Linked DNA regions of Sus scrofa. The protein of the gene in region 3 purifies or fractionates together with the protein of the main gene of each other region. This does not show direct contact. Links are inferred from orthologs where the notes say so. Each region holds a gene or a part of one and is shown on either strand. Other genes may lie near its edges. The genes, in order: SMARCC2, ARID1B, BCL7A, SMARCD2, SMARCD1, PBRM1 and DPF1.

What was found.
Region 1: the proteins of BCL7A (region 3) and SMARCC2 purify together in Homo sapiens (affinity purification with mass spectrometry; 4 studies listed by BioGRID and IntAct, counting the BioPlex papers as one, with this or other methods). This does not show direct contact. The link is inferred for Sus scrofa from reciprocal best matches to the Homo sapiens genes BCL7A and SMARCC2.
Region 2: the proteins of BCL7A (region 3) and ARID1B purify together in Homo sapiens (affinity purification with mass spectrometry; 4 studies listed by BioGRID and IntAct, counting the BioPlex papers as one, with this or other methods). This does not show direct contact. The link is inferred for Sus scrofa from reciprocal best matches to the Homo sapiens genes BCL7A and ARID1B.
Region 4: the proteins of BCL7A (region 3) and SMARCD2 purify together in Homo sapiens (affinity purification with mass spectrometry; 5 studies listed by BioGRID and IntAct, counting the BioPlex papers as one, with this or other methods). This does not show direct contact. The link is inferred for Sus scrofa from reciprocal best matches to the Homo sapiens genes BCL7A and SMARCD2.
Region 5: the proteins of BCL7A (region 3) and SMARCD1 purify together in Homo sapiens (affinity purification with mass spectrometry; 5 studies listed by BioGRID and IntAct, counting the BioPlex papers as one, with this or other methods). This does not show direct contact. The link is inferred for Sus scrofa from reciprocal best matches to the Homo sapiens genes BCL7A and SMARCD1.
Region 6: the proteins of BCL7A (region 3) and PBRM1 purify together in Homo sapiens (affinity purification with mass spectrometry; 3 studies listed by BioGRID and IntAct, counting the BioPlex papers as one, with this or other methods). This does not show direct contact. The link is inferred for Sus scrofa from reciprocal best matches to the Homo sapiens genes BCL7A and PBRM1.
Region 7: the proteins of BCL7A (region 3) and DPF1 purify together in Homo sapiens (affinity purification with mass spectrometry; 3 studies listed by BioGRID and IntAct, counting the BioPlex papers as one, with this or other methods). This does not show direct contact. The link is inferred for Sus scrofa from reciprocal best matches to the Homo sapiens genes BCL7A and DPF1.

Annotation. Positions count from the first base shown.
Region 1 is NC_010447.5:21,563,174-21,566,908, forward strand, and holds the end of SMARCC2 (SWI/SNF complex subunit SMARCC2), read right to left. Parts: intron 3,343-3,735; coding exon 2,961-3,342; intron 2,620-2,960; coding exon 2,197-2,619; intron 1,640-2,196; coding exon 1,563-1,639; 3' UTR 789-1,562; downstream 1-788. UniProt on the Homo sapiens protein: Involved in transcriptional activation and repression of select genes by chromatin remodeling (alteration of DNA-nucleosome topology).
Region 2 is NC_010443.5:9,794,121-9,797,830, reverse strand, and holds part of ARID1B (AT-rich interactive domain-containing protein 1B), read left to right. Parts: intron 1-235; coding exon 236-366; intron 367-3,060; coding exon 3,061-3,710. UniProt on the Homo sapiens protein: Involved in transcriptional activation and repression of select genes by chromatin remodeling (alteration of DNA-nucleosome topology).
Region 3 is NC_010456.5:30,695,136-30,699,821, forward strand, and holds the start of BCL7A (B-cell CLL/lymphoma 7 protein family member A), read right to left. Parts: upstream 3,243-4,686; 5' UTR 2,561-3,242; coding exon 2,262-2,560; intron 1-2,261.
Region 4 is NC_010454.4:15,094,528-15,098,610, forward strand, and holds part of SMARCD2 (SWI/SNF-related matrix-associated actin-dependent regulator of chromatin subfamily D member 2), read left to right. Parts: intron 1-2,262; coding exon 2,263-2,447; intron 2,448-2,639; coding exon 2,640-2,682; intron 2,683-2,841; coding exon 2,842-2,964; intron 2,965-4,063; coding exon 4,064-4,083. UniProt on the Homo sapiens protein: Involved in transcriptional activation and repression of select genes by chromatin remodeling (alteration of DNA-nucleosome topology).
Region 5 is NC_010447.5:15,995,289-15,999,371, forward strand, and holds part of SMARCD1 (SWI/SNF-related matrix-associated actin-dependent regulator of chromatin subfamily D member 1), read left to right. Parts: intron 1-731; coding exon 732-848; intron 849-2,141; coding exon 2,142-2,243; intron 2,244-2,534; coding exon 2,535-2,696; intron 2,697-2,776; coding exon 2,777-2,874; intron 2,875-4,083. UniProt on the Homo sapiens protein: Involved in transcriptional activation and repression of select genes by chromatin remodeling (alteration of DNA-nucleosome topology).
Region 6 is NC_010455.5:34,695,207-34,699,289, forward strand, and holds part of PBRM1 (protein polybromo-1), read right to left. Parts: intron 3,308-4,083; coding exon 3,152-3,307; intron 47-3,151; coding exon 1-46. UniProt on the Homo sapiens protein: Involved in transcriptional activation and repression of select genes by chromatin remodeling (alteration of DNA-nucleosome topology). Required for the stability of the SWI/SNF chromatin remodeling complex SWI/SNF-B (PBAF).
Region 7 is NC_010448.4:47,144,398-47,148,067, forward strand, and holds part of DPF1 (zinc finger protein neuro-d4), read right to left. Parts: intron 3,098-3,670; coding exon 2,970-3,097; intron 2,684-2,969; coding exon 2,594-2,683; intron 2,219-2,593; coding exon 2,140-2,218; intron 1,938-2,139; coding exon 1,806-1,937; intron 938-1,805; coding exon 887-937; intron 794-886; coding exon 674-793; intron 1-673. UniProt on the Homo sapiens protein: May have an important role in developing neurons by participating in regulation of cell survival, possibly as a neurospecific transcription factor. Belongs to the neuron-specific chromatin remodeling complex (nBAF complex).

The DNA.
Region 1 (3,735 bases), on a different chromosome or scaffold from region 3:
AGGGCAGGTGCGAGCCTCTGCCCAGCCCTGCAGCAGCTGCACAGTTCTGACAGCTGGGCTGCCTTTGGCCTGGCGTAGAGGGAGGCCCAGGGTCTGCGGGGCTGTGCTTGCCCAGTGCTTCTCCAGCCTAGCAATGGCCACTGGGATGGGCTTCAGGAAGGCTGGCCCCAGCCTGATCCCCCTGCCGAACAGCCACAGGTAAGAGAACACAGAAGGCATCCACAAGATGGAACTGAAAGCAAATTAATTTATAAAAAAAAAAAAAAAAAAAAAAAAGGAAAAGAAAAGAAAAAGAAAAAAGAAAATTTACAGAAAACTTTTGAACAGAAGGAAAGTGCCAAGACGCGGAGGAAGAGAAACATGGGGACATGAGGATCACAGGGCTTGGTGGGAGGGACTGGGAAGAACTGGTGGGGCCTGGAATCACATTTGCCTTTGCATCAAGGACGAAGAGGGGAGAGCTGGTACCGGGGGGCACTGGAATCCGGGGGAGCAGAGCCGGGCTGCCAGCTATGAGCCAGAGGTCGGCACAACCCTAGGCTGGGTGCCCCTCCCCCACTGCTGCCCCAAAGGCCAAGGGAATCCCTGGCTCCCAGCCAGGGTTCCGATGGTCTAGGTGGGAGAGGGAGGAGGAGGGAGGGGTGACCTAGCAAGTCATAAGAAGGAGGTGCTTAAGTGCTTTTTGACAATTTCACGTCTTAAAACCTTCCCGTCCCCTTCTAGCCCCCATCTCCGTGGCCCCTGGGAGCCCCCGGGAAGGGGGCAGAATAGCCCCCAAATGCCCTTTCTTCCTCTACTTCCTACCACAGGAATCCCCAGAATGTTTCCCCACCAAATACACATACGCTGACGTCAACTACGCAGGTGACTTTTAAAAACACAAAACTGACATTCAGAGGGAAAGGGGTCATTGGCTGAGCTGGGGTGGCCTAAAACAGCAACACTGAGGAAGCGGCAGGAGAGGTTAGTGGGAATAAACTGGGGATGGGGTGGCCAAAGGGGATCGGGAGCTGACTCGGTCACTAACTTGGGGCTGGAGGAGACGGATTCTGCACCCTATTCTATCCCAGAGTTCTCCCCAGAACCTCAGTTCCCCTTTCCTAAAACTGTCACCTCTCTCCTCCAAAAAATGTAAAAGTTGGATTTTTTTTACAGTGGGTGGAGGGAGCTCCAATGTGACTTTTCTTTATCTCTACTTCCTTTTGAAGGGCTTTTTTTCATCCATAAAAAAATGCAGTAGTTTTGAGGGGGTACACCCTTAGAAGTGGTTAATTAGAACCTTATATAAACACCTCCCCAGCCCTTTCTTTGAGGGCAGCATCCCCATTCTATCTTCTCTCCCAGACATTAGAAACATCTTTGCAGCAGAAGTCCTTGAATAATCCAATATAAAAACGCATGCCTCTGACAGGCACAGTGGGGGCTCTGGAGGGGCAGAGGAGCTTTCCTTACGTAGTGATGAACTCTCCAGGCTGGGGAAGGGTCCCAGTGGTGGGGAGAGGGCTGCTTCTGGAACCTTGATCTCCTTGGGGGGTGAGGGGGAGAGATGTCTGGCTGGCTCCTCACTGTGGGGGTGGCACAGGGGTGACTGTGCCTGGGCTCGGGGCCGTGGGATCTGGAGGCAGGGGAGTGCCTGGGTCTGTGGAGAGAAGGAAGCTGTGTCAGCTGGGGTGAGCAGGAGAGGGGGGCTCCAGACCCAGGCCACCAGGAAAACAATCGGGCATGGCATGCAATGGACAGGAGATGGAAAGAGTGCCCACAACGTCCAATTTCCTTCCCCCAAGACCCCCTCCTCCCACCACGCGCTGGGGAAACTGGTAGACCCCAAATCACCCTCCTGCCCCCAAGGGAACTCTCTAGACGGGGCACTTGAACGTGATGGGAACAAGCAAAGGCGATGGCAGTCATCATGCAAAAAAGTAGCTGTTTTTCCAGTTCACAGCTGAGATGCTCTGTGCCACAGGACTCCTCCGTGACCCACCAGTGACAGGCCCCAACGTCATCCCAGAAGTGGCAGCTGCCAGGCTGGGGAATAGTGGAGGACAGCCAGAGAGGCCCTTCCCTCCTGATTCTAATTTGACCAGAGCGTTCAAAAAGGATCACAGCAGCTCCAGTACCTGAGCCCCGCCCCACCTGCCCTCCAGCCCTCGGGTGGGCCCCTCCCCCTTCCCCTCTCCCCTCCAGGACCCTTCTCACCTGGCAGTGGGCTGGCACTGGGCAGGAGGTTGCCCTGAACAGCTGCCACAATGGCAGGGCTCTGGGCTGCGGCGGATCCGAGCCCCGGCCCGAGAGGCAAGGAAGATGGCATGGTGGTGGTCGCCGGCAGGTTAGGATGTAGAGGGTTCGCCATGGACACAGGCAGGTTAGGTGGGGGGAGAGTGGCCGGGGCGAACGGGAGATGGTGGTGATGCCCATGCAGGTTAGGAGGAGGGGGGAGGTTAATACTGATGGAGTCGGCTAGGCTACCAAACGGGATGATGGATGGAGCAGGGGGGGGAGGCGGCATGCCAAAAGGCAAACCCAAAGGAGCATTACCCGCCACGCCTGGGTGCCCGCTGCCTGGCACTGCCCCTGGCATCATTGAGGGAGGAGTTTGTTGGTTGGGAAACGGTGAGGGGCCTGGGAATGAAGAGGAGAGATAGGGAATATTAGAGGCATATAATCTTACTTGGAAACTCACTTCCCCAGCATGCATAACCAAGCCACTCCTAGGAACCACCTCCCTGTTTTTTTTTGTTTGTTTGTTTTTTAAACTAGAATAAGTAGTAAATCCTTGGGATAAAATTCCAAGGATCTGGTTTGGGGAAGGATCCCTGCTGACTCAGGGACAGAAGTGAGATGGATCTGTAGAAACTGAGGCTGATCCTTGACTCCAGTCCTATCACAACCCCTTCGAACGGAACTGAACACTCAGCCAGACCACTCCAAGTTGGAGTGAGTTCCTACAACCCATCACTTACCATGGGGTCCAGGGGGGGGTACCCCTGGTGGGACTGCCCCAGGCTGGGGGGCTCCAGCTGGTTGTTGCTGCTGTGGCCCCACAGCTGACCCTGCCGGCCCAATCTGTTCAGAGGGGCCCAAGCTTCCGGGAGGGGCCCCGCTGCCGGCAGGAGCAGGGGCCACAGAAGCCGGAGCCATAGCCAAGCCATGGACAGTCGGTGGCCCTGCAGCGCCTGTAGGTGGGATAGGCTGGGAGCCTGGGGGCAGGGCCGGTGGTGGCTGCTGCTGCTGTTGGTGCATTTGCTGGAAGTGCTGCTGCCGGGCCCGCATCTCTGCATACTTTAGCTGCTCCATGTGGAAGGCTTGTCTGTCGGCCAGGAGCTGCTGCCTCTGATACTCGAGCTGCCGGGGGCCACATGAGTATTGTTACGCAGGTTTACACGATCCCAAAGGCAAACCCCTTGCCCCCTGCTTTGTCTTCGGACAAACCTGCATGCCCATTCCGACAGGTGCCCACACCAAATCTCAGTCTTGTGTTTGGCTTCCTCTGTCCTCCCCCAGCCTACCCCCTCAAATCTCCCCGCCAGGTCCCTGGCTGCCCACCTCACTGCAGTGGGGTTAGTTTGGTGGTAACTCTTGTTCTTTTCAGCTCCAAAGCTTTGAATCTGTCATTACTTTAATTTGGAAAATGCTTCTACTAGTTCCTCTTGTCAATTCATGTTCTTTCCTTCCTTCAAAACTGGAGGAAGGCTCATCATCCTTAGGAAGCCTTCCCAGATCAGCTCAATAGCCTCT
Region 2 (3,710 bases), on a different chromosome or scaffold from region 3:
CACCCCTCCCATTTAACCTGCAAAGCAAAAAGCTCTTCGGCTGCAGAAGTTTCTCAGGGCAGCCCGTCTCCCCATCTCAATCCCGAAATGACCACGTTCAGCTGTCCCGAAGAGCATTTGTTTAAAAGTCCATATTTCACGTCACCCCCGCCTTCTTTTTCTGATTCTCTGGTTCTTTTCTCTCCTCTGTGCTTAGAGGCAGTATTAACCCCGCCGTCGTTTTTTCCAACTGCAGTTACTCCTGAGGCCTGGCGTGTGATGATGTCCCTTAAGTCAGGTCTCCTGGCCGAGAGTACTTGGGCTTTGGACACTATTAACATTCTTCTGTATGATGACAGCACGGTCGCTACGTTCAATCTCTCCCAGGTAAGCCGGCGCCGGTCCAGCCGAGGACCAGCACAGAGTGAGAAACTGAAGGAGCGCGTGGTGCCCGAGCCAACGAGCGCTCACCAGCTCGAGTTTGTCATCACCGTGGTTGTTACAAACCACGTCAATCGGTATAGTTTTCTGAGAACTTTCTCTAGAACCGTCATTTCTCTTAATCCTTAATGTAAACACACGCACACTTCTATTTCTCATAAGAAAACAGTGACCTTGTGTACACACACGTGTATGTGTATGGAGTAGACAAAAGTGGTAAAATGAAATGGTTGTTGAGAATGAATATCAGCAGGCCAATGGCAGTTAATCCAAATGTAACAAAGTGATGGCTCTAGTCAGCGGGGATGTACAGTAGGCTGCAGTGAGACACCACCCTATTTTCCAGGGGAACCAGACCTCTTTCTCTTAATTGAAAAGAAATGTAAAATTTAAAAGCAATTTTTATATTACAGAAAACATAGTATATATAGAAGGAGAGAAAACGGTTTAATGAAGCCCTTGTACCCGTCACTCAGCCGCAGCAGTGATGAAGTCATGGGCCAGACTTGTGCCTTGGTCTGTTCCCTCCCATTTCTGCCTCCTTCCAGGTTATTTTGAAGCAATCATTTGAAAGCTCCTACTTTTGGAGTTCCCATCGTGGCTCAGTGGTTAACGAATTTGACTAGGAACCATGAGGTTGCGGGTTCGGTCCCTGGCCCTGCTCAGTGGGTTAAGGATCCAGCATTGCCATGAGCTGTGGTGTAGGTTGCAGATGCGGCTCGGATCCCACGTTGCTGAGGCTCTGGTGTAGGCCGGCAGCTACAGCTCCGATTCAACCCCTAGCCTGGGAACCTCCATATGCCGCAGCAGCGGCCCAAGAAACAGCAAAAAGACAAATAAATAAATAAATAATAAAATAAAAACTCCTACTTTTAATGAGCTTAAAACCTTCCTTTGTTCTGTGCGAGGCTTAAAGTAGCTTCCAGCATAATAGCCAGAGGAGAGAAAGGGAGCTGAGAATTAGGAAAAAGGCCCGGGAGTCAGCTGGACTACAGACTTCTTAAGAAATATTTAGAAACAAAAATAAGGCAGGGTTATTCTTCCTCTGCTGTGGAAACAACTCTCTGCATTTGCTGAAAAAAAGCCAGAACATCGGCCACCCTTCTGTTGAGCTGGAGCCCACACCTTCCACTCCTCTTCCTTCTCTCGTTGGAGTCTGCATTGTTGCCCTGAAGGGCAGTTTTTCAGTTGATGGCAAGTGTGTTAATAAGGTCCCAAACATCTCATGAAGTCCATTGTAATAGAAAGTAAGTCTTAAAAGACGGTCTGCTGCCTTCGCCAGCACAGTACACGTTGGTCTTTGTGCTGGGTGACCTCCTCTCGAGGGCGCGTGTTCATGACCAGAGTCGCTTTAGCAGCCCTCCCTCTTCCCTCGCCCTGGGGACGAGCTAGGCTTTAAGGGGGACAGAAGAGGTGGACATCGGACCTCGACCTCCACTTGAAAAACTGTGCCTTCATACCTAAAAGCAAGTGCTCTCTGCTTGGGCCTGGGTTTTCCCTTACTTCTTTTTTTTGTTTTTTTGTTTTGTCTTTTTAGGGCTGCACCTGCAGCATATGGAGGTTCCCAGGCTAGGGGTCTAATCAGAGCTGTAGCTGCCAGCCTACGCCAGAGCCACAGCAACATGGGGTCCGAGCCGTGTCCATGACCTATACACCACAGCTCACGGCAACGCCGGATCCCTAACCCACTGAGCGAGGCCAGGAATGGAACCCGCGACCTCATGGTTCTTAGTCGGATTCATTAACCACTGAGCCGCGACTGGAACTCCTCCCTTACTTCTTAATAATCGTTTCAAACCCACCTTCAGGAAACCAACAGCAGAATATGAAAGTGTGGTTGATTTCTGTGCCACCTATCATTAAGGAATCCTTTTTCACTTACTTAGCCTTTATCGTCCCTAAATGCAGTGCCGTGGGGGTGGGGAGCAGGCAGCTGCTGGGCACGGAGTGTGTTGGTCTTCTTGATGTACATATACATTTGCTCAAAGGAAGCAAAGGTGGTGCTCACAGTGGCTTTCGTCTTTCAGCGCAAGTTGTGACTCACAAACTTCAAAGTGCCTTCTATGAAACAGTCCAATTCCTTTATCAGAGGCTAAATTGATTTGTTTTTAATTTTGTGTATTTATGAGCTACCGCACTGCTGAAATTATCTTTTCCCCAAAATATATGGAGAATGTAAATTAGAATAACTTACGGCATCTAGGACGAAAATAACCATAAAAGCCTAAGAGTAAGAACCATAAACATCCAGGCAAGCAAAGTTTCAGATAAATAAGAGAACAGACTCACTTTGGCTGAAATTCTCTCCTAGTTATGGTGGAATTGTATCTAAATGAGAAACAAAGGGGAAGAACAGCAAAGCACTCCCGCACTGATCATTTCAGAAGTATGAAAATAACGAGTAAGTTGTCATGTGGAAAGTGAACAGGAAATAAGACAGTAACTCTTGGTTTGGTTAATAATGAAAAATTCAGAAAGGTAGTTCTGACTGATTCCTGGTTTCTCCTTCTTGGCCCAGCCAAAAAGGAATAAAACCGTGGAAATAACCGTAGAAACGCATGTCTAGCTCTCAGGATGCTCGCCCTCTCAGTCACACCCGAGGTTATGACACTGTGCCTTTCTCCTTCTCGCCCTCTCCAGTTGTCCGGATTTCTCGAGCTTTTAGTAGAGTACTTTAGGAAATGCCTGATTGACATTTTTGGGATCCTTATGGAGTACGAAGTGGGAGACCCCAGCCAAAAAGCACTTGATCACAACGCGGTAAAGAGAGATGACAGCCAGTCCTTGGCCGATGAGTCTGGGAAAGAGGAAGAAGATGCTGAATGTATGGATGAGGAGGAGGACGAGGAGGAGGACGAGGAGGAGGGCGGTGGGAAGCCGGAGCCGGAGGACAGGAGCGGCACGGCTTTGGCCTCCCCCGACGCCACCGCAGACCCAAAGGAGAAGCCCAGGCAAGCCAGCAAGTTCGACAAGCTGCCGATAAAGATAGTCAAAAAGAACAACCTGTTTGTGGTCGACCGGTCTGACAAGCTGGGTCGTGTCCAGGAGTTCAGCAGCGGGCTTCTGCACTGGCAGCTCGGAGGCGGGGACACCACCGAGCACATCCAGACTCACTTTGAGAGCAAGATGGAAATTCCTCCTCGCAGGCGTCCGCCTCCCCCGTTAAGCTCCACAGGCAGGAAGAAAGACCAGGAAGGCAAAGCGGATTCTGAAGAGCAGCAGGAGAAAAGCATCATCGCGACCATTGATGACGTCCTGTCTGCCCGGCCAGGGGCTCTGCCCGAAGACGC
Region 3 (4,686 bases):
AAGTCAGACCTCCACGTAAAAATCCAGATTCCTGGCTACCTTCAAAAACACGATCTGGCCACAAGGGGCCCATGTTGCCCGAGGAGCAGTGGCTCTCTCCAGATGCGGCCCTGTGGCTTCCTCAGATCTCCCAAGTCTCACCACAAGCACCAGGGAAGCCCAACCTCCGCCCCCCCCCCCCAACATACCCTGTACTCTCCTGCCTTCTGGCCCCTGATAACCCACCTGGCTAAATGCCCCTCTCTTCCCTACCAGGCTTGAGCTCCTGGACAAAGGGAGTAAATGAGGCCCAAATGCTCCTTCCCAGCACAGGCTCCTGCACCAAACACAGGCATCGCCCTCCCCAGATCGCTAGGCTGAAGCCAATTTCTTTTTTCTTTTCTTTTCTTTCTTTCTTTCTTTTTTTTTTTTGTATTTTTGCCTTTTCTAGGGCTGCTCCCGTGGCATATGCAGGTTCCCAGGCTAGGGGTCTCATCGGAGCTGTAGCCGCCAGCCTACACCAGAGCCATAGCAACGCGGGATCCAAGCCACGTCTGCAACCTACACCACAGCTCACGGCAACGCCAGATCCTTAACCCACTGAGCAAGGCCAGGGATCGCACCCGCAACCTCATGATTTCTAGTCGGATTCGTTAACCACTGCACCACAACGGGAACTCTTGAAGCCAATTTCTTACATTCCCCCACGGGCCAGGCAGCCAGGGAGACCATCTTGCGGTCACCTGCCTCCCTCAAAGAGGGCTCTGAACGCCTCATTTCATCTCCACTTCCCAGAGCTAGTCCTCGATGCCACAGGAGGTTTGGCAATGGCTGGTCTCATCCTAACTAGACCCAGGCCCACTGGACTTGCCCTATGCTGGGCTGGGGTGGGAGGGTGGGTGTCCCTGGAGGTGATGAGGGAAGGGTCTAGGCACAAACCACCTCCTTCCCCAGGGACGGGTGGGGAGTCTTGGGGAACAGGCCTCTCTCTGACCCCACAAGTCACTGAGGGACCCTCCGCCCAATGACTGCCCCTCTCGCCTGCTCTTCTCCACTTACACCGGGCCTCCTAACCCTGACCCAGTTTCCCCACAAAGAGCCCACCATTTTGGTCTTCCTTCAGCCATGTTCTGGCTGCCTCAAACTCCACCAGTGCGCCCTGCTGGGATACCTACCAGACAGAAAGCAGCAGAGCAATGGCAGGTAGCTATGCACGTGGCCACGGCTGGCTGCTGGCTTTTTCCAGGGCGGGGGAAGGTAGGGTTGGCAGAAGGGGGCAAGTTTTAGGGGTCATTGGGGCTGAGGAGAAATACCACCCCAGGCTCACAGACAGAGTGGTATGCTAGGCACTCCGTTCTGAATTTAAAAACAAAACAGAATGCAGAGTTAAATTTCAATTTCAGATAAATGACTTTTTTTTTTAAGTGTAAGTATGTCCCAAACTGTACATGGGGACATACTTACACTAAAAAAAGTATATAAAAATATTATTTCCTTGTTTATCTAAAATTCAAATTTAACTGGGGGGGGGTGTCCTGTAATTTTATTCGCTAAATCTGGCAACCCAGTGTCCCAGCCAGTGGTGAAATGCACGGTTGGTGGCCACACAGTTAATAAACAACTGAAAACCACAAGGGCTGACTGGAAGATGCATTCTAAAGGCATAGTGAGGGTGAGATTTGGCTTCTCAGGGCTGGGGAAACCCAGGAAATAAGGTAAAGTGTTTTTGGTTTTTTTTGCTTAGAATGGGCGGGAGTTGGGGGGGAGAAGAAAAATCAGCACAATGTAAGTTTCTACCTTAGGACAGCATTTAATGACTGCTCCTATGTGCAGGTTAAGTGCTTTTGGAGACATGGTACTATTCCAGGAGGGGAGAAGACAGCACAGAAACCCCTTGCTACCACCGTTAGAGAAGTTAAATGGTTAGTAATCCAAGGTCACAGCAAGGAAGTGAACTGCAAGCCTAGCCATGAGATTCCAAAGCCTGGGGTCTTCAGAGGACTTGACACATAATTTCCCAAAACACACAAAGGGAAAGAGACTGGTTCTCTGCCCCTCCCCCCAAACACAGGCCTGCCCCCAGCTGCTCAGCAGTACTGAGGGCCACCAGGCCGGCTGCTATGGAGCCCACAGGGTGGAAAACCCCACAGCTCCATCTGCCCCACCCCTGCTGAGCAGCTGCCAGGGTGCTGGAGCCTCTGCCAGGCTGGGAACCTGGAGCAGAAGGCCCCACCATGCCTCCCCAAGCACAGAAAGGCTGCTTGCCCCCACCCCTTTCTCACCTCCAGGTTGGTGACAGAAGGACCCAGACAACAGTTCTTTCTTTGCAGAGATCTAAGGCAGGGGACAACTCCGGGATTCCCAGAGAGGGGGTTGTGAGCTTGTTTTCCTGTGTGTGTCTTGGCCTGCAGCTGTTTCTGCCATTTTTAAATGGCTCTAGTCCGGGCACTGGGCTCCCTGCACACCAGGGGAGCTCCCACAGCGGGGAAGACTTGGATCTCAACTTTGGAAGGCCTCTCCTTCTCACGGTTCTGAAAATTCTTTGTCCCACTGGAGCCAAACCCAGCCCTCGGCCGGGCATCCGGCCATCTGCAGACAGCCCTTTCCATAGGAGGCCCAGGAGCACGTGGACTTTATTGATTTTCCTCTTGCCTTTTTTGTTGGGTTTGACTCAGAAAGGACAGCTAACTTGTGACACGGCTAGACTGGAGGCTCGTCCCCAGTGGTTTTGAGAGACCAAGGCGTTACTCGAGAAATGACACCCCTCAACATAAACATAGCTTGCCATGGGGCCTGCCGGGTTTTCAGGCTTTAAATAAGGGGTCAGGACAGGCCCGCGGGCGCTGACACTCGAACGTCGCGGCGGCTCCTTTCCCTCCCTGACCCGGGTGAGGCCGTGGGAAAAAAATAATAAAGTTGAATTCCGGGAGCCGGGAGTTTTCAACAAGTCTGCCCCAACCTGGCGATCGGCTGGCGCCTGGGGCCTGGCCCTTGGGCCGATTCCGAGAGAGACCCGGACGAGGCCGGGGAAACGTGCAGTCGTGTTAATTACAACAAGGCCACGCCGAACGGAATCTAATGTGAGCTGGAGAACCCGCACCGCCAACACCGAATCCCCCGTGCCCCCCGCGCGGAGAACAAAAACGACGGCTCTCTCCGCAAAACAAACACGAGCTGCCCGTATTGGACAGGCAGACGCTGCCCAGGACCCGGGCCTGGCCCCGAACATTCTCTCGCCCGAGCCCCCGAGCCCGGGTCCGGGCAGAGCGGGACGGGAGGGGGGCGCCGGAGCACCAGGGCCCGCGGCCGCCGCCGGCGTTTCCTCCTCGCGCTCGCCCCCATCTTTCCTCCTCGCCCAGAGCCTTCGCTCCAGGCAGCCCAAAGCGCTAAATTTAAACGGCTCGCGCTCTGCAAACTCCGCAGACTCGAGGGCGCCGGGCCTGGGAGGCGGGGAGCGAGCGAGCCAGCCAGCCAGCCAGCGAGGGAGGGAGGGAGAGAGGGAGGCCCGGCGCGGGCAAGGGCGCGGGGGCCGGCGCTGCGACGCCCGGGGCGCGCGGGGAGGAGACGGAGACGGCGGCGGCCCGCTCGGTGCCTGCACAATGGAGCTCGCGCTCTCCCCTCCGCCGCCGGCATCGCGGCCCCGGCGCGCGGGAAGCCGCTTTCATGTGACTTGCACAAAACGAAATGGCTTCTGGGGCCGGCCCTGAGCCCCCCTCCCGGGAGCTGAGCGCCGCGGCGGGGACTGCCCGCCGCCCCACCGCCCGGTCCCGGGCGCCCGCCGCCTCCAGGATGCCGCCGCCGCCGCCGCCGCGCCAGGTGGGCGACAGGCGCGAGCGCACCTGGGCTGCGGCCGCGGCCCCCGCCGCGCGCAGGTGACCCGGCTCGCGCGCCGCCCGCCCTCTTCAACTCCCGGGCCCGCGGGCGGACCGGGGCGCTGCGCCCCGCTGGCTTTTTGTATCTGGTCTCGGGGTTTGGGGCGGCCGCAGCGCCGAGCCGGCGAGCGAACGAGCGAGCGAGGGAGCAGGCGCCTCCGCTTACCATTTGCGCACTTTCTCGATAGCCGCCATGACCCTCTTGATATCATCTTTGGCCCGGCTCCTGGTCTCGGCTCGAACCGACCTGCCCGACATGGTTCTGGCGGGGAGAGAGAGGCTGGGGGAGCGCGCCCGCCGGGTCCTGCTCGCGCTCCGCGGCGGCCACACTCGCGCCCGCCCGCCCGCTCACTCACTCACACACACAGACACTCACACACACACTCGCACACATACACACACACACACAAAGCCTGGTGCCGCCGCGCGCCCAGGGCCCACTGCGCAAGCGCCGGGCGGCAGCTGCACGGAGCAGGGGGAGCAGCGCCGCCGCGGCAGCCGGCAGTGCGGCCTCCGGGCGCTGCTGCCGCGGGGCAGCGGTACGAGCCTTTCCGCCCACCCGGGGGAGGCGCCCGCGACCCCCTGCTCCCGGGGGAGGCGGCGAAGGGCACATGGCGACCCCCGGCTCCGGTCACGCTGGGGCAGTGGGACGGACGTGCGCGCGGACACTTACTCGGAGGCCGCAGGTGCCGGGGGTCCCCCGGGAGAGCGGCCGTGGAGGGGGCGCATTCCTGGGGAGCCAGCGCGGCGGCGTGTCCGCTGCCCCGGTGTGTGGCAGTGGCTGCAATAATGCAAGTTTCCTAAGGGGCTCCCGACTTCTCAGAGTTGAAGGCTC
Region 4 (4,083 bases), on a different chromosome or scaffold from region 3:
GTTCACACCAGAGAGTTCAGAGTATTTTCTACGTATGTGGGGGTATGTTCTCTTCTCCTTGGTCCTTAGGCCCAGCCACCAGGAGCACCAGGGCCACAGGCTCTGAGCCCTGGCAGAGCATGCTCTCTGGAGGCAGCAACATCGGGCTGGCCTCTCTCCCCTGCTGTCCCAGATGGTGGAGGTAGAGTCCTGTTGAAGGCATGGACCGCTGCTGGGCCGCTTCTGGGCTGCTTACTTCGGAAGCTCAGGGCGCTGAGCTCAGGGCTGTGTTCTTTTTCTCTTTCTCTCTCTCTCTCTCTTTTTTTTAACTCTTGCGTCGTTTTTTAGAAGAGGAGTTACTGGTGCTTCTGAGCCCAGGTATGGAGCTTGGCAAGGCCGAGCTGGGACTTCGTGAACTGTAAGCAGCTTTTCCCTGGGCCCCTTCCCCCTCGGGAGAAGCCTGGGGCCCGGCGCGAGCTGGGGGCTCTGCACCTGGGATCTGGAGCAGCATCTGGGAGAGGCCTCTTTCAGGCCCTGCCTGTGCCACCCGGTTTGAGGACTTCCTGTTCCAGGAGCACCCGCCTGGGGTGGTTGTCGCTGAGGAGGTTGTGCGGATGCCCTGGCAAGGAGGCCTTAGCCTTCTCCCTGCAGGTCTGCCGCTTTGGTTGTTCTTCCCCTTCAGCTCAGGCGCTGGGGGGAAATTCACGTCTAGGGTGCTTGGGGCTGGGCTTACAGCTGTGGCTCCCTGAGTTTTTTTCTGTCATCTCTAGCTGTGGCTCATTAAGGCAGAGAAACAGGCTGTCTTTTGCCTCTCGTGAGCTCAGGTGAATCTCTTCCTGATGAAGGGAACCTTGTGGCGGGACTCCAGGTCCCAGAGCCCCCCACGTGTAACTCCCTCCTCCTAGCACTCCTTCCCCCTTCCCCGTATCTTTCAATCATGTTTCTCTCAATCTCTGCATCTGCTCAAGAATCTGACCCTCCTTGGTGAGAACATGGGCCGAGTGCTAAATGAAGAGAAGTGGGAATCTCGTCTCCGTGATGTTGGGGTCGGGGTGAGGGTCTTTTGATTTGGTGCGAGTCCCACCCAGCCTGGCTTGGTTGGCTGGTTGTGCTGGTTGCATAATCTGGGCCCTGGGGCCAGCCCTGCGAAGCTGCCAGGGACAGTGTGTGCGCGAGGCAGAGCTGCCAAACAGGCCTTGCAGGAGCAGCCATGACGAAGGGGGCGGGAGTTACTCCCACATGGGCTCCACGGAGGTGTTGGGGAGCTGGCCCTCGGTGGGGAGTCCTTCTGCAGGCCTCTAAAGAAGCCACCTCTCACCCAGTTTCCTCTGGTGACCCTGAGGCTTTGATGCCTGCATCCCGGGATAATCTCATCTCCATTCTCCAGCTTGGGATTGCCAGGGCTACGCTGAGCCCGAGCCAGCCCCAGTTGCCAGGTGGTGCGTGGACCACGGGCAGAGTGCAGGTGCCAGCTGCTCTGTCTCCCACAGGCTGCTCAGGAGCCACAGCGTCCCCTTTGGGATGTTCTGGCGTAGGGGTTGGGGGCCGGGAAGCAGGGAGGTAAGAGAAGGGTCCAGTTTTGAGATGTGAGTAGGGGCCATATGGCGACCAGATGGTCTCCGTACTCTGCCTGAGGCCACTCCCCCACTTGGGACACGTTCCAGGCCATCCTGTTGCAGTTTGCTCACCTGGGGTGCCATGGCCTGGTGGGCCTGCCAGCCAGTTGGACTGCCTTTCTCCCCTCAATCACATGACCAGACTGGGTGCTGGGGCTGCGCCCCATCAGCCTGCTCTTATCACATTACTCCCACCACCTGGCAGGGACACTGCCCCCAGGCTTCTCCCTTATGCTGGGAGAAGGAGAAGGATGGGAGTGTTTGGTGGGACCATCAGAGTTGTAGGAGTGCCTTGAAGCTGGCTGGTTCCAGGGAGCAGGGCAGTGTGTGCCAGGACTGCAAGGTGGTTAGAAGGTGGTGATGGGCCCTGAAAAGGTCCCCAGGCCCTTCTTCTCTCTGCAGGCAGGATTCTCCTCCCACCTGCTGGGCTCTGCAGGCCTCATTCGCTGGCACCGCTGCCAGGGCGGTTGAAAGGGGTGGGGCAGGTGTGGTTTACACTTCTGCTCTCGGGCGTCTGCTCCCCTTTGTTCCTGGCACTCCTGCCCGGGCTCTGCCGTGAGCTGCTCAGGGCTGGGCCTGGCTGGGCAGAGGGATGGAGGGAATGGGTTATGGGCCCCGAAGGGCCCCGCTGCTGACCTATGCACCCCCACTGGCTCACTTCCTCCAGCGGCCTGGCATGTCACCTGGGAGCCGGATGCCCATGGCTGGCTTGCAGGTGGGACCCCCTGCTGGTTCCCCATTTGGTACAGCTGCTCCACTTCGACCTGGCATGCCACCCACCATGATGGATCCATTCCGAAAACGCCTGCTTGTGCCCCAGGCCCAGCCCCCGATGCCTGCCCAGCGCCGGGGGTAAGACCATCCTGTTTCTCCCACCCCACCTAGAATCGGCCTGGTGGTAACAGGGTTTCCTTCAGTCCTAAGAGCTGGGATGACTGAGGAAGACGCCCGGTTCTCTTGGGAGAAGGTCCTGGGGGCTGGAGAGGTAGATGGGGGGGAGGTCCTCTGGACCACTGACCTCTTAAGTGGGTTTCTGTCCTCCAGGTTAAAGAGGAGGAAGATGGCAGATAAAGTTCTACCTCAGCGAGTGAGTTTGTTGGAAGGGGGCCTAGGAGGCCCGTCCAAGGGCTGGTTGGCTGGGGCTGGAGTCAGTCTCCCCCAGCCCTGGGGTGGGGGAGGAAAGGAGGAAGGAGCCGGAGCCGCACCTGAGACAAGCCGATGAATCCCTTCTCCCTCCTTCCTCCAGATTCGGGAGCTTGTCCCAGAGTCTCAGGCGTACATGGATCTCTTGGCTTTTGAGCGGAAGCTGGACCAGACCATTGCTCGAAAGCGGATGGAGATCCAGGAGGCCATCAAAAAGCCTCTGACGGTGTGTGCAGCCCTGGACCACTCCTGGGCCTTGCCCAGCTTCTCTGCCCCTCCTCTCCCGACGTGTTTGCCAGGGGCCAAGTGAGGGTCTGCCGCAGGCTGGTGCAGGGTTTTTCATTCTGCAGGGTCCAGCTCACGGAGCACGAACTCAACATCACGTGGGGGCCAGCATGTTTTTAATGAAAAGCCAAAGAGTAGGAATTACAGTAATTCCTCACAGAGTAGAGGAATTATTTTATGATGTTTTGGTTTCTGACATTTATACACGTGTGTGCATATCCTGGATCAGGCATTAAAACGTACATACTGTAGATGATGGTCAGAAGCTTCAAAGGCAGGACTTCCTGGTGGTGCAGTGGGTTGAGGATCCAGCAGTGTCACTGCTGTGGCTTGGGTCACTCCTGTGGTGAGGGTTTGATCCCAGGCCCAGGAACTTTTGTACACCCCAGGGGCAGCTGGAAAAAAAAAAAAAAGATCTCAAAGGCAGAACTACAGGGTAGATAAAGATGGTTCTTACCTTCTTCCCAGAGCAGCTTTTTTTTCTTTTTTCTTTTTTTTTTTTTTTTTAATAAATAATCTGTAACAGTCCCTTCAATGTAGAAGGCTTTCCAGGAGATGATATTCTGGGGCCGCGAAGGGTGTTTGAGTTTCGTTAAAAATATGAGCCAGAGTGAGTTCCTGGTCTGGTGCCATGGGTTAAGGATCCGATGTTGCCACAGCTGTAGCCTAGGTTGCACCTATGGCTCAGATTCAACCCCTGGCTTGAGAGCTTCCACAGGCAGTGGGTGCAGGCCAAAAAAAAAAAAAAAAAAAGGAGCCAGCCAGAGGCTTCTGATTTGCCTGAACCTCTGTCACTCTACTGAACCACCTGTGTTGGAATTGTTGGCTTTTTGGCAGTGCATCTGTCTATCTTACAAAACTGAGTTCCTTGAAGGCCAGGCCTGGGACTCCCTACTCCCAATTCTCACTGCCTAACAGGGGCCTGGCCCAGCGTCACTGCTCTGCACTGATGTTGAACGAGTCCAGAGGGAAGACTGGGTGGCAGTGTTTTCCCACATGCTGGGCCCCCTCTAGCTAACCGGTTGTCTTTCTCTCTTTAGCAAAAACGAAAGCTGCGGAT
Region 5 (4,083 bases), on a different chromosome or scaffold from region 3:
ATTTGAGGCCCTGCTTTCCTCCCAGAGTCCTTGAGGTCCTTGATTCCCGCTGCAGTATTGCCGTCTTCCCAGTTTCCACTGGAGACATTTCACAGTTTCCATGGGCGAGGTCTCTCGGACAGGCTCTTTGCTGCCTCATGGGGAACATCAGCTGACAGGTGATAGCCCCCAGACTTCACACCCCAGAAGCTCCTTGGGGAAGCTCACCTGCCATTCCCTTATATTCTCTTGCTCTCTATTTTTAGCTGTTCACAGGCAAGCCAGTATGAATGCATTTTTCAGGAGAACCAGGGCTCGTGTCAGAGCCTCCTTCTTTTCTATATAGGTCCGGTCCATCTGCCAGTGTTATCATGTCATCCAAATAAAGCAGTTTTTGTTCTGGCTGCTTATTACCTGTGATTCATTTCCCCTCTAGAGTCAGACCTTTCCCTGTTCAGACTCGCTTTATTGTGTGCAGAGGTTTGGCCTAACTTACCTCCTTTCCTTTGGGGAAATGAGGTGGGTAAGTCAGTGACCCTATGTGTGTTATAGGCTGCTGCTTTGGGGTTCTCTTGCTACCGTGACTTGTTTAATATCCACAGACACCTACCTTGCCACCTCCTAAGAGATATTCAGAAGACATTTTTGGGTCTCTTCCTGTTGCTGTTTGGGTTCCTTTTTTTATGGTACTTTGTTTTAAGGAATTTTTTCTGGTCTCTTGTAATGTGACCTCTTCTCTCTCTCTCCTCTAGTCAGCCTTGTCCAAATATGATGCCACCAAGCAAAAGAGGAAGTTCTCTTCTTTTTTTAAGTCCTTGGTGATCGAACTGGACAAAGACCTGTATGGGCCAGACAACCATCTGGTAGAAGTGAGTAGTTCTCTCCTCTAGGCTTTGACTTATGACTGGAGGATGATGGACTTGGGAGCCAAACGTTAATGTCTAAGGAGAGGGGGAGGTATGAGAAAAGGGCACGCCAGGTGTACGGTACCTCTGTCGCAGTTTGCACATTGGCCTCCAGGTGGCACTAGCTGTTTAGTTCTGGTGCCATTTGGACCCAAGAGCTCTTGTAGTCTGACTTGTCCCACCTTTTTAATTTGACTATCCTAGTTGCTGCCCCACTTTCAAGGGAAATTCTGATGGAGGCCTCTTGTACATGCCAGATCATCTCTTCATCTTGTTTATTAATAATGGTGAGATGTAGTTATCCACACACCATTCTGCTTTTTTCCTGGTAACAAGTACTGTGTTAAAGGGGGTTAACTAATAGGGTTCTAGTCCTTGCCAAGGCTACTTGCACGAATCTGGGACTCACTTTTGGTCCCTGCTTTGTTTAGATTCACATTCCAAATCATCAGAAAGCTTTTATTATAATGCCTGATTACGTAGCATACCTGAGACGTGTCAGCAGCTGTGTTCTTTGGGATACAGTGGAAACCAGAATGACGGTCCGGTGCTCCAAGTGAACTTAACCTGCTCCTTTCTTTGCCAGTGTAGCCGCAGCCCCTTAACCTCAGCCACTAAGAGACTTGGGAAGGTCTTTACCATCTTATAAGGGAAGTAAGTCACAGAATCGATAGACATGTGTAACTGTATTTAACTTAACTTCATAGCAGTAGAACATAGTGGCTAAGAATGTGGACTGTAGAATCCAACACGGCCGAGCTCAGAGAGCAGCTCCACCACTCGTTGGCTGTTGACCTTAGGCATCTTACTTTAGCCTTCAGCGTGTTTGTTTCCTCTCTGTCAGATAGGTTTAATCGAGCCTGTCTCATATGGATATTGTAGGGATTAAATGTGATGATCCGAGTAAAAGTCTTAGAAAACCCTCGCATGTAGTAAGCACTCAGTAGACGAGAGCTACGTTATTTTACAGTACGCATGTTATATTATCCATTTTGTGGATAAAATTATCACTGAAAATTCAGGCTGATTTAAATGTGGTCTCGAGCAGTCAGAATTAAAAGGTCAGTCTACTTATTGACAAGAATCCCAAAGCCACATGCAGTTTTTTTTTTTTTTTTTTTTTTAATGCCTCATGCTATTGTTCTTCTCCAGTAGCCTCAGTAATCAAAGTTGAATATTCAGTCATTACAGAAGCTCTTCCCTCCCACCCCAGCTCTTCCTCTGGGAGAGCGCCCCCTGACATCTTCCTCTCTGTAGTGGCACAGGACCGCCACTACCCAGGAGACGGATGGCTTCCAGGTGAAGCGGCCAGGAGACGTGAATGTACGGTGTACTGTGCTACTGATGCTGGATTACCAGGTATTCTGTGCTCATGGGAGGGGGTCCAGCTTTCACAGCCACAGCCCATCAGCCATCTGACATTTAAAGCTTTAAGTCTAGTTGTGGATACTTTGCCACCAGACCCTCCGCTCTCTAAACATGGGGATAGGGTCTTAGTCATTCCTGGGCTCCCCTTAGTGTTTGTCTGCCCCCGAGACAGCCCAGCATTAATGCTGGTTGAATGGCTTGAAGATGGCCACGCCGAGCACCCTGTAATGTGCACAGAGCCAGCCTATTAGCTTTGAATCTATCCTCTTTGGTTCTCTACAGCCTCCCCAGTTCAAATTAGACCCTCGACTGGCTCGGCTGCTGGGCATCCACACCCAGACCCGTCCAGTGATCATCCAAGCACTGTGGCAATATATTAAGACACATAAGCTCCAGGACCCACACGAACGGGAGTTTGTCATCTGTGACAAGTACCTCCAACAGGTGAGAAAAGGACCCATTCTTTTGCTCGAGGCCACTGGAGCCCTAGCTGTGCTCTTAGCTGCTTTTCCTCTTTCCCACAGATCTTTGAATCTCAGCGTATGAAGTTTTCAGAGATCCCCCAACGGCTCCACGCCTTGCTTATGCCACCAGAGCCGATCATCATTAATCACGTCATCAGGTAAGCGTGTGGATGGGGGCAGTGGTGTCCTGGAGCTGGCTCATAGCTGCACAGGTCAGTTCGCAAATTTTCAGGAATTTTGCAAACAGGTTGTTTATCACAGTCCCTGTTTGTGATTAGATACATTACATTAAAAATAAGGATAATACAGGAATTCCCCGGTGGCTCAGCAGGTTAAGGATGTAGCATTGTCACTGCTGCGGCTCTGGTCACTGCTGTGGTGCGGGTTCAGTCCCTGGCCTGGGAACTTCCCCGTGCCGCAGCAGTAGCCAGAAGAAAAAAGAAAAAAACAACAACAGGGGTAGCATGTACTCAAATATTCATCATTTCTGAATTACTGGTTTCTCATGTTTGTGTTTTTGAGATTACTTACGTCTTTTGAGTCTGCGTGGTGGCATACCACATAATGACATGTTATTGCACATGCCTTCCCAGCTCCATGATCAGTGATGAAATGCTGGCATATTAAAAAAAAAAAAAAAAATGCTGGCATGTTGAAATCAGTCGTGTTGAGAATATTTAAAACACAGCCGTCAGCAAATGCTACAAGTCAAGGCTTTTTTTGTTGATCTTCTGCTGTGGAGAATCAGCTATTAGACATTCACCAGCTCGTCAATGATGAGCTACCATCTTCTCAGGGTGGTAGGACATTGCATTTCTGAGACTCCAAATCCGTCATCTCCATCTGCTTTTCTGTTCAGAGATAGAGGCGCAAGGCATCTCTAGGCAGATACGGAGTGGAAGAAGGCATTTTGTTCTCAGACTGGATGTAGTCTCTGCCTTTTTTCCCTTGTTTCATATTCAGTCCACTGAAGCCCTTCCTCTCATAAGACCCTCACTCAGCTAATAGCAATTCCTACAGTCTATACATTGGGTCAATAGAAGCTAGTTTGTCCTGTATTCCTCTGCTTAGAGTTAGGCCACTTTTTACTTTATTTTACATGATGTGTGTTTTATTTCAATTTATTTTCAGGATCAATTTTATTGTAATAGGGAGAATAGTATAGAAGAAACTATAGCAGTCATTTCCTTGTGAGGAGGGAGAAACTGTTTTTTTCCTCACTTTTTAGGGCCGCACCCATGGCTTATGGAAGTTCCCAGGCTAGGGGTCGAATCAGAGCTACGGCTGCTGGCCTACGCTGCAGCCATAGCAACGCCAGATCTGAACCACACCTGTGACCTACACCACAGCTCACGGCACACCAGATC
Region 6 (4,083 bases), on a different chromosome or scaffold from region 3:
GGTGCTGGAGTCCCTACCATAGGGGCCACTCCTTGGTTCATCACACCTATAATTCAGAATTATAGGCACAATTAGAGGCTCTGGGTTGAGAAGATTGAAAAACTACTGTCTGATAAGAAATGCCATTCATAATGCAAACCTACGATCTCTGCCCTGAGTCTCTGTGGATAGGAACCCTAAGCACTCAAAACAGGCAATTTCTATAAGGAATTTTCTATATGTAGCATTCATATAGAAAATTCATATTTTTTTCATCTTCTAGGTACTTTAAATACAAAACTAGTACAACCTGTCAGATATACATTAATTATTCATGGCTTAGAAATGATATGAACTCTGCATAAAATTCTAGTTATTTCCCTATAGTCAGAATACACCTCTATTTTCAAGGTAATTTTCTTTTGACAGCACAGTTTCCTGAAACTGAAGCCCATGTTTAATTTCAGTGGTAATGCAGTGCAACCAGGCTCAGCTGTATGCAGTGTATTAGGACAGTAGGGACACAAGGGAAAGGTTGAGGAAGTGCATGGTTACATGACCTTTGTGGAAGCTGGGGATATATTCTTGCTGTCCCCTTACAGGTCACTAGTACCTCTGGTTTCTAACTGGAGTCACTAATGCTGGCAGAGAGGGGACACTGACATCTGATAGAGTGACACTTTGAAAAGGGATCATCTGGAAGCAGAGCAGACTTGGTGCTATCACTTCAAATGCAAAATGACAAAGCGAAAAAGAAAGATTTCATGGTTCTACTATATTCGTACTATGTATAAAATACAATTCCCTTGGTGACTCCTCATAAACAATTTCTGTCTCAAAATGAGTTCTGCCTCACAGGTCCTAGCTGATGATAATGCAATGTCCTAAATTTAATGTCTAGGGCTATTTTATTCTCATAAAAGAGAGAAAGAGGCAAGGAACCCAGCTCATTAAAAACTAATAAACTACAACTAAAACCCTGGAGAGCTGTTGTTTTAACCTTAAACAAGTCCAGCTTGCTGCACAGAAGGATCAACAGGAGCTAACTTCATATTCTACAGTTTCTCTGGAGTCAAAAGGTTGATATTTTGACGAAGCAGAGCCAGCCCACTATTCTAAGGTTCAGAATTGCTAACTATCACTTCCAAGAAGTATTAGAAAAGAGTAAGTGAAAACAAGCTTTCTGTTTACAAAGCAGAAATTTTTATATTCCAAGGATCCAGAAGGGTACCTGGATCACAATGGTAGGATCCTAACACTTATTTCTGAGTGAGTGAAGAGGCTGCAGTGGGTAAGTTGCTGCGCCAGCAACATATTATTAACCCCTGCCTCCCAAAGACACTCACCTACTTTAAATCTCGCAACTCAGTGGGCATCCCTGAGCTGCCGGTAACAATCTTTGCAGGGCAGCACAAACAAATCAACAACTAATCCCCTATGCTTCCTCTGTTTACAAATGCCATGCCAGGGGCAACTGGTGAGAATGCAGGCTAAGTCACCGGGGAGCTCACTGCATCTTTCTCTCCTTGAAGCCTGATCAGAGGTGTAAGCGTGTGTAGGCACTAAGAGGGGTTCTTCCCTGACTTCCTATCATCAGGAGAGTGGTGCCTCCTTCAAATGCATTTAGAATCTGAAGGGGGGGGGAATGGAGAGAGCTGTCCCTCAATACCTACCAGAACATGCTACCTGGAGGGTCCTGGCCTTGGCTGTGGCTCCCATTGAGTACCACATGCACCTGGAAGTCAACTCCAGGCTAGTCTGATTGTTCAGTCAGATACTCGGTGCCAAGGGGAGAGGGCATAGCACAAAGGCCAATTGTGCCTATCACAGGGACCATCAATTTTATGACTGACATTTGCTGCAAGAGCAACTCACACATAGTCCACCATTTCCATAATGAAATACCACTCCGACAAACCTTTTCTCCTCTGGGTTATGTCTAGAGCAAACACTTCTGTGGAGTCATGGCCATTGTCTGTGTGTTGCTGCAGGCTCTAAGCCAAGCCACCAGGTTTGCTCACCCTACACACTGCTGGGTACACCTTCTGAAGGATTGCTTGAAACTCTTTATAGCTCTGGATTGGTAGGTCTAATACTGCCATGATGTTTTGTCATCTGGGCCGGGCCTTTTTTTATTTCCCTTCTTTCTTTGGCGGCATCGCAGCATGTGGAAATTCCAGGGACTGAACCTGTACCACAGAAGTGATAACACCGGATCCTCAACCTGGTAGGCCACCAGGGAACTCCCTGCGTTTGGCCTTTAGCTAATATTTTGGATGATGGACCAAATTCTATTATAAGTCATTTTAAGGTCACATTCCCTCCAACTAGATTATAGCTAAGGGTCAGTTCTTTCGCATATGATGGCACTTAATATGAGAACTTGTGATCTTCCTTTCATAATAATCTTTCAACTTACTATTTAATTATAAGGTAAAACTGTAGCTATTTCTGGACTTCATTTATATGCTTCTATATGAAATAACTTCTGAGTTTCTGTCAATAGACAAACCAGTGTCTATAGTTAGTAGAGGGGGCTATGCTGTTCTTTAAAATGTTATGTCATGCTTCTTTGGGGACTCGGGTACAGAAAACTAGTTCAGTACAAATTTGTTCTCTCCTCCTTTTTATTCCTTGACTGAAGGATTTCTAAAGAGTTTTACATTAGTGACTTAGAAGGGCTGTTTGAAAAGCAGGAGATGGGGCAGGGAATCTACACAGAGGACTCTGTGAGATAAGAACTGAATCGGAGGAAGAAATGCACTTAGGAGCAAAAAGTGTTTTTTATATGTCACTCGGAACTAACAATTTGGTAATCTTCATTCACTGATAAAGAGAGCAAAGCATAACCTTCTAGGCTGTGTTTGGCTTTCTGAGCACATGAGAAATTGTTCTGAATGATTTTAGAGTACACCTCCTGCCCCTTGACCTGCTGAGTCTGGTTCCTGCCATGTGCCCCATGCTGCTGCTAGACAGCCAGGTGCCCTAGAACACAAGTGCTGAGCCACCTGCTCAACACACAGGACAGGCTCTGCTGCTGACACTTCTGGGATTCTCAGTGAGGGAAGGCCTGCCCACATGGATAGCAAGTACCTCCTGGAACAACTGGTTGAGGGAGGAAAAAGAGAGTATGAAGATGAGATTAATGAGCGAATGAGGATGAAGTTCTTACCCGGTGGTGGGATGCCCGAGAGGCCAGGCACACCTGGCGGAAGATGGTGGGGTGGAGGCCCCCCAGGGTGAAGTGGCTGCATGCTGCCCATGCTAACAAGGCCATCAACTGGGCCCTGCAAAGGTGGAAGGCCTGGCGGATAGCCACCCATCATGCCTTGAAGGACACAACAAATTTCAGACATGCATCATTAACATGCAACATGAGCTAAGTAATAACAACACCCCTACCCCAACATGCACTAATAATGAATAAAAGCGCCCTTAGTACTGCATGATAAAACGGCAATTAGTGCAATTATTTTGTTGCAATAATGAACAAAATAAAAAGTTACAAATATGAAATACAACATTTTTGGATGAATTAGTACTTAGTATATGATTATTTGTAGTTATTTTCCCTGGGATAAATATGCTACATGTTTTCAGTTAAATAATAAGAAAGAGGAGTTCTAGTAACAGCCTTCACAAGGTCATGATTATTGCAGACTGTTCAAAAAGAGTGACCAGTTCTGCCGACTGTGATTCCACTGAACAGTAGACAACCCATCATTCCACTCTGCCACACTCATATGCCTATCCCGGGTACACATGAGGGGAAACTGGAATGGAGGGAAATGAGGCGCACAAGCCCTGAACACAAAGCATGGTTCTCCAGCATGGAGGAGGTGGGCAAGAATTTTTCAAGACTTCTATACCCAGTGCTTCTCCCTTCTAGCTCCACCACTGCTGGTAAGAATGGATCATGCTTAGGCTTGAGCTGGGAACAGCTGAGAGCTATCATAATAAATGATGTTTCATCTATAGATTTCAAAACTTGATAAAACCTAAACCCTCCCAAGCCTATCTAAGCCCAGGTCACTCAGTAGCCTGCATGCAGACCTCAGGAGGAATGGCTGGAGAATCAGGCTCTGCTGATACGAGAAAATGCCA
Region 7 (3,670 bases), on a different chromosome or scaffold from region 3:
AACCCCAGCCTCCCAGCCACGATGCCATGGCAACCGCCTTCCACAGAGGGGTCTCCACGCTCTGGTTCCCTGCGACCCAAGCCCATTACACATGATGCCCCAACCACCACACCGTTACCCACGTGACTATGCAGTGGGCCAACCCCCTGGCCATCCCCCCACCCCCGTGCAGACACCCAGCCGCTACCCGGGGCCACGACAACTACCTTCCACTACACCCAATTGTCACAACTGTATTTCACTGCCCGTAATACCATAACAACCACGATTCATTGGCCACCGTGCTGAGGCAACCGCAGGCTACTGCCCACAGGTCCACCTCGGGAAACCGCTTTCTATTAACCACACCTCGGTGGCAAGCGCTCTCAGTCATCCACAACACCCAGGCAGTGGTAATCCATGACTTGCTATCGCAGCCCGCTCCCCACGAGGTTCTGGCCACCCTCTTTTACTGCTCCCCACGCCATGGTAAGCAGGTAGCAGTACTCGCAACGCCAGAACCACCACAGCCCCTTATTCCCAGAGCCTCCCCGAACCCACTGTTTCCCGTCATGCTCAGCAGTGATCCTCGGGGTCCCCCAGATGCTCTGCATCCCCCCCAGTCCTCACTCCTCCACCTCCTAGCCTCCAGATCTGGACCCTGGCCCCCAGAAGCCTCAGGTGGGGGCATCACCTGATCGCCCACAGTCGGCACAGGAGATGAGGTCCTCGGGACACCCCGTCTTCTTGGAGCCACCCAGGCAGAAGTCACAGTAGCCGTTGGGGATGACAGTGCCGTCAGGTGCCTTCTTGGCTGAAAGACAGCGGGCAGGGCTTGGCGTGGGCAAGGCAGGGGCATTCGGTCAAAGGCTGCTGCAAAAGTCGGGGCGGGGGGAAGCGTCCCTACCTGTGTGTTTCCTCTGTGCCTCGGGGACCCAGGCCAATTCTTTGTAAAACTCTGGGGGTGGGGGGGACAGAGAGAGGGGCTCTCACCATAGGCAAGGCTCCACCCTGCCCCCAGCCTCAGCCCCAGGGGCGGAGCCCTTGTCCAGGCATGGAGGGGGAGGGGAGAGGGAGTGGCTACCCCAAGCTGTGAACAAATAATTCTCATCAGGACCCCCCAACTCTTTGAGCACAACTGCTGCATCCTCTTTATTAGGTAAAAGCCTGGCAGATACAGCTTTAGGAAGAGCCCCCCACTTCCCCACGCACACACACTTCTACCAGACAGCCACCCCCAACAAAGCCCCAAAATAAAAATTAGGCAGATCCCACTGGCCAAGATCTCATATGGAAACAGGCATTTCAGGAGGAAAATTCTGCACACAGAGGTGGCTGGGTGTGTAGTGGGGATGAGATGAAGAGAGTGCCCTCTCCCGCCAAGGGATGGGTGGGAAGATGGTTTCTCCACTGGCACAGCCTCCCTGCTCCAAGCCTTCCCCCATCCCTCAGCTGTCAGGGTTGGCACCGGACTGGCATGGGCAGCCACCAAGAGTTCCCGGGCCACAGACCCTGCCCCTTGGCCCAGGCTTAGCAGAGAACGGAGAAAGGGAGGCAGGGACGGAGGGGAGTCATCTATCACCCCCCTCCCCAAGCTCTAATTGAAACAATAAATCAGACCCAGAAATATTACGCCCGGCCGGGAGCGAGGGAGAGATGGTTGGTTGTCATGGCAACCCCAGAGCCAGCATCCCCATGGTCGGTGGGGGGAGGGGACCGCTGAGCTGGGGCTTTTCCAGAAATGTCTAACGTGCCCCCTCCCTCCCGGGCTGCTAGCCCCCACTCGCAGGGCCCCTCACCACCCCACGCCCTGCCCGCCTGCTCACGTTTATGGTTGTTTTTCCGGTGGAAGGGCAGGGCGTGGCGTTCGGCGTTCTCCTCCCCCTCCTCCTCAGCCAGGTGGGTGTGGGTGTAGTGGTAGCTGAGCCCTGGCCGGTTCTTATACCGTTTCCCACAGACTGAAGAGTGAGCAGGGAGGGCCGGTCAGCCCCCTCCCAGCCCATGCCGCCTCCACCCTGGCCTCCGGGATCACATCTCCTCCCTCTGCCAGAGGCCTGTGCATCCCCCCCCACCAGGGTCCAGAACAGGAGGGAGGGGGCTGGGAGGGGCCAGGTCTCTGGGCCCCACTCTCTCTCTTCCCCCCTCTTCAGAAGGACTCACTATCACAGACATACGGCTTGTCTCGGTCCTCCAGGGAAGCGGTGTCCTGGCGTTTCCGGAGACCTCCGATGCCATATGCCTGGGGAAGAGTCTGGAGTGAGGGGCCAAGAAAAGGAGCAAACTAAAAGAATTTTCCTCATTTGGGCCGGAAATGCAAATCACAGCTCTGCCGCTACCTAACTGTGGGCCTTGAGTAACTCCCTTGACCTCGATCAGTCGTACAGGTATGAGGATAGTTCTAACCCACTGGGCAGTCTATATTTTGCAAATGGTTTCATAGATCCACGCCTCAATTTCCTCATCTGCAAAATGGGTATAAAAATCCCCTACCCCTTGAGGCTGCTCTGGGGATTAAATGAGATCAGACTGGGGCAGGGTCTGAACATTGTGCAGCCTCAATAAATGGGATCCGCGTTGAGGGGAGGGGTGAGGAGCAGAAACTTTGGGGTGATACCTTTCCTTTGGCCCTGTTCTTCCTCCTGGGAATGTCATCCTCCAAGTCTTCCACTTCGAGATCGTGTGGAAACTCCAGCAGCTGCTGTTTCTGGGCATCAGGAGAAGGGAGATTGGGGTTAAGAAAACGGGACACTGTTCTGCTTTGGGGGGATGGTTCTGCATAGAGGAGATTGGGGGTGGCAGGGCAAGTCAGAAGGTCTCCCAAAAAGAGATGAGGTGTGGAAGGATGGAGACTTAGGATGCCTGAAGGACCTAGGGAGCCAGTGGAGATCTCAGAGCAGGAATGGGATGGGCCGGGGCAGGAGGCAGGGGTGAGAAGGCAGCTGCGGCCACCGGGGTGGGGGCGCCGCCGGGGTGGGAGTTGGGGGGGCTACCTGACAGTCCATAATGGTCTCCTCCTCCTTCAGCTCTATCTTCTTCTCCCCCGTCTCAGCACACAGTAGAGCCTCAAGGACTGGTCCTTCCGGGAGACCACCCTCCTTCTTCAAGGGCGCCTCACAGTCTGGGGATGAGGCCATGGGGGTGGGGGTGGGGTCAAGTGGAGAGGTTGTCCCCAGAGGACTCCTCACACTGCCCAGGCTGGGGAGTCATGCTCTTTGCTGGTGGGAAGAGGCTTCCCACACTCCACTGGCAATAGACTCAGAGACTCAACCACATGCACTGGAAAGGGGACTGGACCCTGGGGAAGACACAGCCAGACCCTCAGAGCCGCTTGGGCACACTCAGCAGGAGATGTGGCCAGACCCTCTGATATACCTACATACGTATAGGAGACTCCACCCAGACCCCTACACCTGGAGAGAACAGACACCCAAACAGGACCCACGGGGACACACGCAAGGGAGCTCCACATGGATCATCTGCGACAGCCAGCCCCACAAGGGAAGAGACACACCCTGATGCTCAGATACACCTGGACCCATGGAGGAAAATATCCAGACCCTTGGGTCCACCCAGAGACACTCAGAAAGGGACCATTAGACCATCAGATATGCCCAGACCCACAAGAGGAAGACACAGCCAGACCCTAGCAAACACCTGAACATTCTTAGGGGAAACAGAGACACACCTAGAG